Drosophila melanogaster: one gene and its partners. The protein of the gene in region 1 interacts with the protein of each later gene in a pairwise test. Each region holds a gene or a part of one and is shown on either strand. Other genes may lie near its edges.

Region 1 (3,595 bases):
AGTTAGTTTGCCGCCACAAGTCCCCTTGGCCCCTCTCCACAACACCCCTGTTCACAATTTCTGCGGTCTTGTTAGTCTGGGCTGGCAAGTTGGTTAAAAAGTTGTTGATGCAGTTACTCCTCCTTCTGCCCGCCACGCCCCCTTTTGCGACGACATTTGTGCTAATGGCTGCCAACGACCTGGACAGCAAAACCGAACAGCCCTTGTCCCCCTCTTTTACGACGCCCCTGCCCCACATGGCAAACATGTTGCATACGCTGCGGCGTAAGCGAAAAATTTCCAGCGAACAGCTTTTTGGCCAAGCAAACACACAGCGGGTTAAGTGGGCGAGTTTGCCACAACATTTGTGTTCAAGAATAATTAAATTAAGCTGTCAGTCTGACCGAGAAAATTGCAAATACACTCAACATTATGATGCACTTTCAAATGTACACATACCATACATACAAGTTTGAACTCAAAGGGCCGATTTAATGGCAGTTCGAAACTATTATTTATTTTATTTTATTATCGACTAAACAATTAATTATTTAAACCTATTGAACGATGTAAATGGCACTTTCAAACTAATTTGTCATCGCATTAATTAATAACAATTTAATTTTAGTTCTAATAAGGAATTTGATCTTTACTGATACAATTTTGATGAAAATTTACAAGATTGCATATGTTGAATTGCTTATGAGATATGGTATTTCGTCCAAGTACAAAGTGATCCAAAATAATTTAAAAAAACTTGAAACAATTTTTAGGTACAGTATCAAAGTAATGCAAATAATTTTGAAAAATCATTCCAAAAATCATTGTGATAGACTGCGTTTAGTTCGCTTGAGGCCCTTCTGAGTTCCCAATAAATACCTCCTCCTTGGAGGTATTCTCCTTTTCCGCAAGTTCTATTTCGATGTCGTCTTCGCGAAAGGTGCCCTCATTAGGATTAGGCGATATGGGCCCCACTCTACCCTCATCCTCTAGAATGGTGAACTGTAGGTCGACGTCCAGCGTGTAGTCTTCAGTGTGCTCCTTCATTTCGCGATGTGTGAATCGCATAAAATGCGGACTGTCCGAAAGCAGATCGCAATTCTTCAGGGTCTCCGAGCCTTGACAGGTCTGAATCATCTGCCGACGTGGCACTCCCGGAGTGTTTTCTCCGATATTCACGGATACCAACAAAGGCGTCTGGGCCTGGGGACAGCACAGCCACAGAATATAGATATGGGTCACTCGCGGTCCGACGGGCATCGAGTCCCAGGAAGTCTTCCACAGCATTATCAGGACGGGCAATTGGCACTCCCAGTCCTTGTAGATATTGGGTAGATTTAAGTTCCTGGTCGCGTTGTTGCCACTCTCGTAGATCATCAGACCCACACAGTTGCTTTTGCCCCTGTCCTCGGGCAAGGATTTTCCACACAGCTTCAGAACCTTTGGCTCCTTGGGCTTCATTTCCATTGTAATAATGTGCTCGTGGTGCATCAGGCAGTGACTTAGGAGCTGCTCAGGATTGAACATCAAGTCGCAATTGCTCAGCGGACAAGCCATGTCCAGCTTCTGCAATCTCCAGTATTTGCGCACCTCGACTGCAGTATTTCTCAGCCGCTCATAGCGAATTTCCGGAGAACTGATTCTGCCATGTGGGGAAGCGGAAATGGCTTCTGCGCCGCCGCGCATGGGCACTCTTCCGCCCGCCGGAAGAGACAGCTTGCAGTCCATATACAAGCGCCTACGGTGATCGGGCATCAAGCTGGTGAAGCAGATCTCCACCTCCTCATCGGTATCATTACCATCGTTCTCGTTCTCCAGACGACATGCACTCGCCATCACAGCTTCCGGCGTGGTGTCCAGGGAGTACTCCGACTGAGCGAGATCCAGGACGGCAGATATACCAATGCCAGACTCGGAGCACCTACAGAATGCACCGGATGTCGATGGTTGCTCGCCCTCGCAATTGTTGTTCTCCATTTAGGAATTTTTAAGAAAATGTCGGTTTTTTTTTTTTGTGATTATAATTCTGTGTGAGTCGAACTGTTGACGTCTCGACGTAAAATTATACTGATGACAGAAGGTTAGAACAAATGAAATCAACTTTTGATTACTTATTTCACAAACTACTTGTTTATTTTTTTTTTCTAACGGTTTCAAGTTAATATTATGTGATTCTTTTAATGAGTTCCATGACGGAGTCACGAGCGTGGAATTATCGTCTTTAGAAGAGATTCCTAGACTGCAACTGAGACAATGCTATCAAAACTCTGGAGAACATTTTGTTGCATTTGTAATTTCCGGTTTCGCACACACATGCATACATAGTTGAAAAAGAAAATGCGAAAGAAAAATGTGTCAACATACAAGACAAAGCAAAACACAAACAAAACTCAAGTTGCCTCTGTAGAACAACGAAATGCAACTAGGGGTAAAAAGGGGGGAGGGGGAATCGCTTCCAAGGGAGAGGGCAACAGTCGGACTAGGACTGCAAACTCCCTGTGGCCACCCCCCTCCCACGCCACTACTTTCGTCCACCTCCCACTGGCAACTCCTTTAGTTTCAAATCGACAATGGAATGAACCGCCGCAGAGGAAGTGCGGTCTATTGCAGTAAAATCGGAGTTCAATCAACATATGTCAAGACCTTCAATAAATTTAAAAGATTATGACTGATTAAATCAAAACAAATTTTAAACCAATTTCATAAACCAATTTCATAATAACACTGATTATTTGGATAGCTTTTGTTAATTTATTCACTGTAATATGTATTAGATATTTAAAAACTTCTGTATAGCAAGTGTATATTTAAATTGATTCCGATTGTAATTTATTTAAGCTAATGAGGACAAGATGCATGAAGAGATAAAAACATAAATGAAGAACGTTATTTCAATTAATAAGTATTTTTTGGGACCTTTTATACATTTATGTCGCGCAACTTGGTAACAATAATAAAAACGAGCTGAGTCACGTGCTCGCGCCGTTTGTTTATGGCTTTCTCCCTTTTACTTCGCTTTTACTTCATTAGTTTCGAGGGGAAAACTCCACCTCTCTTTCCTTAGCCATGCTCCCTGGGTTTTCCGCTCTTCCCACTTGGTATCGCTTTTCCTTTTCGAGCTTTTGAGCTGCAATTGTCAGCTTACAGTGCAGCCAACCGCAAATGGCAAACAGGCCAAAGCCGCTGTATCTCTAGATTCGATGATATCTTTAAGACGGATTTTCATTGCTTACCGTTTGCTTTAATTGAGTTTTTACAATTTGATATCTACCTAAAAGGAAAGTAGCCTTCTTCATCATAAGCAACCCTCACCTGAAACAAATAAGAAAACATTTTTGTCAGCGAATCAGCATTCAAGAAGTGCTTGTATTAAGAACCAACAAGGAAAGGATTTTAAAAGGTCAATTGAAGAAAATTCAACTTTGAGCTCGCACATTTGCACGCACACAGACCCCCGGGATGCAGTGGGGTTAAGCGAAGGGTTCATAAGGCACATATCCACACATAAAGATTTCCATTTCCCTGCTGCTGTCTTGACAACAACCCAGACAACAATGTGTAAAACAATTGTGCTCGCAGTTAATTTGTGTGGTACGACAATCTAGTATCACCTCAG
Region 2 (3,791 bases), on another chromosome or scaffold:
TTTCTGTACTGCGAGGTATCGATATTCATATCCGGCGGCTGCGTCTTTGTTGCTTTTGTGTTGCTGCGAAAGACGCACAGCCAACCATCGTTGATCTGGCAGGTGGGCAAGCCGTGGGTGTACTGGAAATCCTCCAGGCGCGATTCAAGCTGCGGGAGCAACGAATTCGGCAGGCAATTGAACACTTGGCGGGTTTCCAGAGGACAATCGTTGTCGCAGCAGCAGTTGAGATCGCATCTGCCTGCCTGAAGATCACAGGAGCAGTAGTAAAATGTATTGTCTCCGGATACGGACAGGGTGGAGTTCACTTCAGTAGAGTTCAAAGGTAGCGCCGTCGACATGGTTGGAGATGCCACAGCCACCTTGGGCTTCTGTTGGACACGCGGTGGAAAAGTGATTGCAGGCGTAGTGGTGGTCACCTCCGCCTCCGGCAGCGTGCTGATGGAGCTGACAGTTTCGCTGCTCGGAGCACCGGTCGTGGCTGGGGCTTCCGTTGTAGTGGACGCCGTTGGCGATATTGTGGCATTGTAATTGTGCGAGATTCCAATTTTAATGGAGTGTGTGTGGTATGTGGCCAGGCACAGGACGACTAGTGGCAACACTTCCTTCATGGCTACTTGAACTCCACGCCGTATTCGTCGAACTTTCGAAAGATTAGGTTTAGCTCAACAATGACCTTTCCAGAACTCAGAGTTTGTAACTTGTAACTGTGCGAGAAATATTTACTAAATAGTCAACCAAGTGTAAAGAGGTTTCCTTAACTCACCGCTCAACACCCGAGTAGAGCAGATCCGTCTTGCTGAGGGCCGCTCCTCCGCCTCCGAAACGCTCACGCAGCGACTGCCACAAGCCGTTGGGAGCAACCTTCCAGGTGCCGATCTCCAGGCGATGGGTGCCTGGTGTGGACGGTACGTGCACAAAGCCGTAGCCAACGGGCCAGGACTGTTGCAGTACGTTAACGGCGTACACTTCCACTAGCAGGCGGGGCCAGCCCTGGACAGATGCGGTGCTCAGATGAATGTCCAGCGGCTGCGCGAAATCCGAGCTGCTCTGGAGCCGGTGGGACGCCACGTGGCTCTGACCCTGAACCTCGCCCTGAACCAGGCGCCAGGCGTTTCCTACCGAGCGGGCAAGCAATTAGGTTAATTGAATTCCGGACAGGTGTATCTGCTGCGTGGGGGAAACTCACCGCTCTGCAGACTCCACTTGCAGTACAGATGCGGCTCGGCAAAGTCAACAGCTTTCAATATCTGCCCGATTATGTGCACCTCCGCCATCAATTCATCAACTCTGAACTTTATATTAGTCGGCTTCTTAGTCAGTTTTTATCACTGGCTTATTCAGTTGACTGGCATTCGGTCAAATTTTTTGGTTTCGTTGTTTTGGCAGTTGACCGTTGTCAAAGTAACGGAAAAGCAGGGAGGGTGCTGCCAACTCATGCGGAAAGGCAAAGGAACTGGTTCGCGTTGACAGGATCAATTTAAAAAAAAATACTTTTTTATGGATGTAAAATATATTTATTTCTTTATGCTATTATCGAAATGAGTTTGTTTTCGCCTTTCACGTCTACCAATCAATATAATCGTGATATCATTACAATATTACGCCACTATTTTAGTTATTATTTATTATTTACAGGTTTTGCTTGCTTATTTGGTATATAGAGTTCGTCTTCTTCTTATAAAGTAAATTTTTGTAATCGAAATTCTGATCTTAGATACTCTAATCAAAAATGGAAAATAATTTGTAGTAACGTATAAATATATATTTTCATTGTATGTCACAGTATTGGAGAAAAATTCGCAAAATTTCTAGTTTCCTAATATGATAAATATTTAATGAGTCTTTGTTTGATCACGATATTCCCGTATTATTGGCGTCGTTGGTGAACCGTACTTGTGGTACCCTTTTTAATGGCGACATCTCCCAGAAGAAAAAACGATCAAGGCGGAGGTAAGTGCTCAAATCGCTTAAAATTGTGTTTATTAAAAGCACCATGCGATTTCCGCTAGTAATTGGCGCTAGCTCATCGCAGGACCTCGTCACTGACCAGAACTCGGGTCGTCGTCAGGAGCAGAAGGTCTACACCTTCAGTGACCGGCCACCACAACCAAAGCCACCGGCACCATCCGGAGTCGTTCCGGTAAAGGCCGACGACAAGTCGAAGCCGCAGAAAACCATTCTTGAGGAGCATGGCATCATACTCGGTAAGGTTATTGGCACCGGAAACTATGCCAAGGTGAAGATTGGCTTCTCCGAGGAGTACGGAAAGCGGGTGGCTGTCAAGATCATATCCAAAGTGAAGGCTCCCTCCGAGTACACGCAAAAGTTCCTGCCGCGAGAGATCGAGGCGGTGAAGGGTCTGCACCACGAAAATCTGATAACTTTCTATCAGAGTATCGAGACCAGTCATAGGTGAGTCACTCTTGATGGTATAGAATAATGCTAATATGAACTATTCTTGATGCACCCAGGGTGTACTTGATAATGCAGCTGGCCGAGAATGGAACGCTTCTGGACTACGTTCGTGAGCGAAAGTTTCTGGACGAGCCGCAGTCACGTACGCTATTCAAGCAGCTGGTGAGTGCCGTGGAGTACATCCACAGCAAGGGAGTGGTGCATCGGGATATTAAGTGCGAGAATCTGCTGCTGGATGAGAACTGGAATCTGAAACTGATCGACTTCGGGTTCGCAAGGAAGGATACCCGAACCTCCGACAACCAAGTGATACTCTCGAAAACCTTCTGCGGCAGCTATGCCTACGCCAGTCCAGAGATCCTCAAGGGTGAGTCGCGTATCTTTAACGTAATTTAATGCTCTAATATCAATATAATTGGAGGCGTCGCCTATGATCCTTTCATGTCGGACATCTGGGCCTGCGGCGTCGTCTGCTATGCGATGGTCTTTGGACGCCTTCCCTACGATGGCTCCAATGTGCACATCCTGCTCAAGCGCATCAATCAATCGCTGGTCTTCCCCAAATCCCCATCAGCTTCCAGCGAGTGCAAGCACATGATTATGCATATTCTAGCACCGGTGAAGATCAGGTACAATATTCCGCAGGTCAAGGAGGACCCTTGGTATTCGCCTAGCAAATAGTTGCTACTCGTTTATGGTGCAGTGCAACAAAGCTGAAAAATTTCAACGTTTAGAACTAACAAATATTATAATTTTTCGATTCAAGTCAATAAATATATATTATTAGATTAGCAAATTTAAGTGGTCAGTCCTTTGGTTTTTTCCGTATTATGAGATAATCACAGTTTTCCATAAGGCAAGAGATAATGTTGCACCCTTACTCACGTCCCACATCTGAGCTCTGAACTTTCCCCTGAATTGTTCCTGCTTGTTGGAGCATGCATGTTAATGTCCCGTAATCACGTTGATTTCACAATATCCTTGCGCATCCTGCTCGGGGCAATGGTGGTGGCATCTCAGCTCGGGGCTTGCTCTTCGCAATTCTGCTCGGCAATGTCAAAATTGTTTGTGGCAGTTGCCACCGCAGCTGCGTCGCCTGCCAGCGGAAATGCCGTTGCAATGGACACACAGATGGGAGGCGCCAGGACCTTCTCCGCCACCCACTTTCTACCCCCGAGTCGCCAGTTGTGTCACACGCAAAACTGACAAAACAGCAAAAATGACAACTGAAATATGCGATGTTGGGCGAAATTTGCGAGAGTCAAAAGGAGCTGGCAGCCGGCGGGATCTGCCCCATCCTGAGAGCCATAAGCCAGCTCCAAGCTGAGAGCTCTGGCGTTGTGGTTTGTGTCACTTCAGGTCATCATATGGAT
Region 3 (3,656 bases), about 11 Mb from region 1:
ATCGACTGGTCACGGGGTAAAAACTTCATTTGATAAATGAAAACAATGCTAATTTGCCACTTTGTTGCAGTTCCAATCAAGTTGCCACATTTGCGCTTCTTTCGGTGTGCCACGATGTTTACCGTAGCCTGCAGGACAGCATGTAAGTGGCCTAATCCCAGCCAGAAACTTTTCTGATTTGCCTTGCCATCCAATTCATAGATCGAAACTGGTTTCCGAGCTAGGGCAGATATCCGCCCAAGTAACTGACTTCGAGATTGAGTGCCTGCACCTATGTAATGAGCAGCAGCAAACCAAAACACCTGCAGCATTGACAGAATTCAGAAATTTCCTGGAGGAATCGCTGAAACTGCTGCAGAACCAGGTTAAATACCTAGAGCTTCATCTTAGTCAGCTGCAACCCAAGTTTTCCGCACCCGAATCCTCGTTGGAGTCCTTCAAATCCGATCTCCAACTGCCGGAACCTGCAGAAGCACGCATTACCCTTGGATTGGCCAAAATAGAGAGACTGTCCAGTTTTCCGCTGACTTTGTAGGGAAAATTAGGCTTAAGGAATATAGAAACATATGCACCTCAGTGGTTTTAAACCATAATTTGCTATACAATGTTTTATATATTAACTAACTGAGCTATTGACTTTTATTATAAAAATGTTACGTATATTTTCTGTGCAGCTCCAGCAGTTCAAATATTTAAACTATTTTTTATACAAAAAATACTGTGCATTCATTAACATTGATTGTCAAATCTGAAATGTGATTGGGCTATATAATCACTCGGCTGGCCTCTCTTTGAAATATCTTTTCGTGGACGAAAAAATAAAACATTTTTTTTAAGATGTTAACGTGTCCAGAACTTCTGATCATTGTGTTTAACAGAAAAACTTTGCGTTTATAAGGAAATCAACGAAACGTGTTTTTAGCAACTGGAGAATTTCGTCTGTATTTTCTTTGTTGATTTCCGAGAAGGCAAGGGTTTCTGCTAAATGCAAATACATATTGTTAAAGGAAGTCGCTTGAAGACCACATTCCATTGTCAATTTTCACTGGGCACTCAAAAAAAACACAGAAACAAAAAAGGTAATGAAACCAAAACACAGGCTTGATTGGTTTTCTTTTCGTACAAAGGCGGTCCAATGCTCTCGAGATTTATTTAAAACACATTTTTGCTGATTTTCTGGCGAATTAGGTGTGTATTTTCATTTGTTTATAACGAATATGCAGCAGCCTCGTTCGGATTTCTTGCCATCCGCTTCTTCTTCTCCGCGAAAAAAACAAGGCGCGTGCGAAAAACAGTTTTGTGTATGTGTGTGTAAAAAGGTCTGCGGAATAAATAGAAGGTGTGTTAAGACGTGTGTTCACTGTGGCCAATATTCCAGGTGCGCTTACCTTCTCGAGTTTGGTCGCCAATTAGCGCAGCCTCCTGGCTTCACGTTCGGATTCCAAAAGGGTCAGGATGTCGCCCTCGCGAACTGGTCCCTTCACGTTTCGGATAATCTGGCGGTTCTGCTCGCCCAGGAACTCGACCTTCACCTGGGTACACTGACCCTGGGAGCCGGTGCGGCCCAGAACCTTCATGACGCGTGCCCACACAACTGGTTTGTCCATGTTAGATCGCTAAAAATGCTAAATTCGCAGAGAATTCACGTGCAAGATGCGCTTCAATTGACAGCCGCAAGCAAAAAGGAAGTTGAGCGGTTATCGGCACAGCGACGTGAAGTTGGCTGCGTTGCGCAGGCCAATCGATAGCTGCGATTAACGGCCCCGCTCACTATCGATTGCGCTTGAGTGGCTAGAAAATAGCGAAAAAAATTATTTTACTACTCGAAAAAGTAGTTTTTACCCTCCGTATGCCTTGTTTTTTTAAATGGTTCGTGTTCCAAAAATTAGTATTTATATTTAATTGCATTTTTCCTAAATCTTTAAGCGAACTTTTATTGTTCACACAATAACAATAGAAAATTGTGTTCATATATCTATTATTGATTTTTTAAAAATTTTTCCAATTTGTATTGCTACATTTAAATTTGACCATTCAATTTTGTTTTATAATATTTCTGGTATACAGACAATGTTATATTAATAATGTCAACATAATATTTTCTAGCAGAAAAAATAGCCAGATAATAGCGGTGTAATAGCCAAGTTGGCAGCACGATGGCCGAACAGTGCTGTAAAATATTTGTAGCATTTTTACCTCCGTCAAAAAATGATATTTGGTATAAAAAATAAATATATTTTGAATTTTATAATTGCATAAAATATTATGTTGACCAAAATATTGCTTTTAAATGATAAACATGAAAAAACACGAGGAATGACAGTTGCGGCGTTTGGCATCACTACTTGTCTCGCTAGAGTTGTCGGTGCACTCAAATGTCAACAAAATAAGCCAAGATCTAATATTATTGATTATTTTAGATATGAGAAAATGTTTTTAACTATAATCAAATGAATGTTTTATGTATGACTAGGCAGAATGCCTATCCTGAGTAAGCTAAATAGCTAAAAACTGAGTAATTGACCTACGGATCGAGAGGCCCTTGCAACCCTAGACGTGGCACCACGTAGACATTTGTCAGTGAAAGTCGTGTCTCGGCTTCGTGCCCACTTCGTGCATTGTCGGCTTCTGTTTTCGCCGCTATACCACCGAAGCCCGTCACTTCTTCATTTTCACTCGATCGGGAAGGTTGTGTGTGCGTGCGTTTTTCCCTCAGCCGATTTCCCAGCCAAATTTCCGTGTGTGCGCCGCGCATTCGATTGCATTTGGAGCCCCGACGACATTATAAAACAGCCAACAAGATGAGGCATCTGATGTTCCTAATGCTGATGGTCCTGCCCATCGTCATCTGCACCTTCTCGGCGCGTAAGTAGAGTCTCTTACCCTCGCCGATAAATAACAATCGCTCGGTGGGCGGGGGTGTTCCCATCCGTATACGTGGCATTTTGCCGACGCATCTGCTACGTGGATTATGCTTTATGGGACTGCCAATCAATGCACACCGTATACTAACATCGTAATTCAGTGATTTTCATTCATCTTTGGTGGTCGAATTTTTATCATACGGTCAAAACTGTTGAGTTGGCATGAGGCCTATCGACCTCTCGCTCTGACTCGTGAGTTGGCTCGTCTGAGATGTCTATGAATTCGTTTAGTTACCAAGATCAAAGCTTCAAACTGAGCACAAGGGTGTTTTTTTTTTAAGGATACTCGATATATATCCTAGTTTCACATTGATCGGCTGGCCATATCCCAAATTTGCAGACAGGCGCAGAGCTAGTTTGCTAGGTTGTGAACTATAAATCAAGTATAAAGTACCCAAATGCAAGCCAAATGACCCCGTTACAATAGCTATTAAAATAGGTGTAACTGTAACTATAACCTGCGAAGAAAACCAATCTAAATATATCATATCTCTGATTAGTTTCAAAGAGTAGTATGCGAAGGTAGTTCCGTGTACTTGAACCCAAGGACTTAATATGTCTTCAATTCTTCAGCACTCACCATAACAAAACTCTCTCTTTAATTTACAGCCAACAAGTTTGGAGCCTATGCCGCCGAGGCCGTGGAGGACGACCTGGTGGACGTGGAGGGCGAGGAGGGTGCCGTTACTGGCGAGGATGCAGAAGCGGACGAGGATAGCGACACGGGCAGCA

Evidence for each region.
Region 2: the proteins of CG1314 (region 1) and CG9222 interact in a two-hybrid assay, tested with the Drosophila melanogaster proteins (one large-scale study listed by BioGRID).
Region 3: the proteins of CG1314 (region 1) and RpS28b interact in a two-hybrid assay, tested with the Drosophila melanogaster proteins (one large-scale study listed by BioGRID).

What each region holds. Positions count from the first base shown.
Region 1 is NC_004354.4:20,867,384-20,870,978, forward strand, and holds CG1314 (uncharacterized protein), read right to left. Parts: upstream 2,015-3,595; 5' UTR 1,957-2,014; coding exon 820-1,956; 3' UTR 606-819; downstream 1-605.
Region 2 is NT_033779.5:6,129,274-6,133,064, forward strand, and holds CG9222 (uncharacterized protein), read left to right. Parts: upstream 1-1,749; 5' UTR 1,750-1,913; coding exon 1,914-1,953; intron 1,954-2,012; coding exon 2,013-2,415; intron 2,416-2,474; coding exon 2,475-2,785; intron 2,786-2,839; coding exon 2,840-3,099; 3' UTR 3,100-3,211; downstream 3,212-3,791. Other genes in the region: tctn (tectonic), read right to left, coding at 1-611; B9d2, read right to left, coding at 614-707, 767-1,118, 1,190-1,277.
Region 3 is NC_004354.4:9,552,661-9,556,316, reverse strand, and holds RpS28b (ribosomal protein S28b), read right to left. Parts: upstream 1,695-3,656; 5' UTR 1,608-1,694; coding exon 1,410-1,607; 3' UTR 1,389-1,409; intron 1,322-1,388; 3' UTR 656-1,321; downstream 1-655. Other genes in the region: CG15317 (uncharacterized protein), read left to right, coding at 1-16, 71-142, 202-535; l(1)G0320 (lethal (1) G0320), read left to right, coding at 2,802-2,865, 3,534-3,656.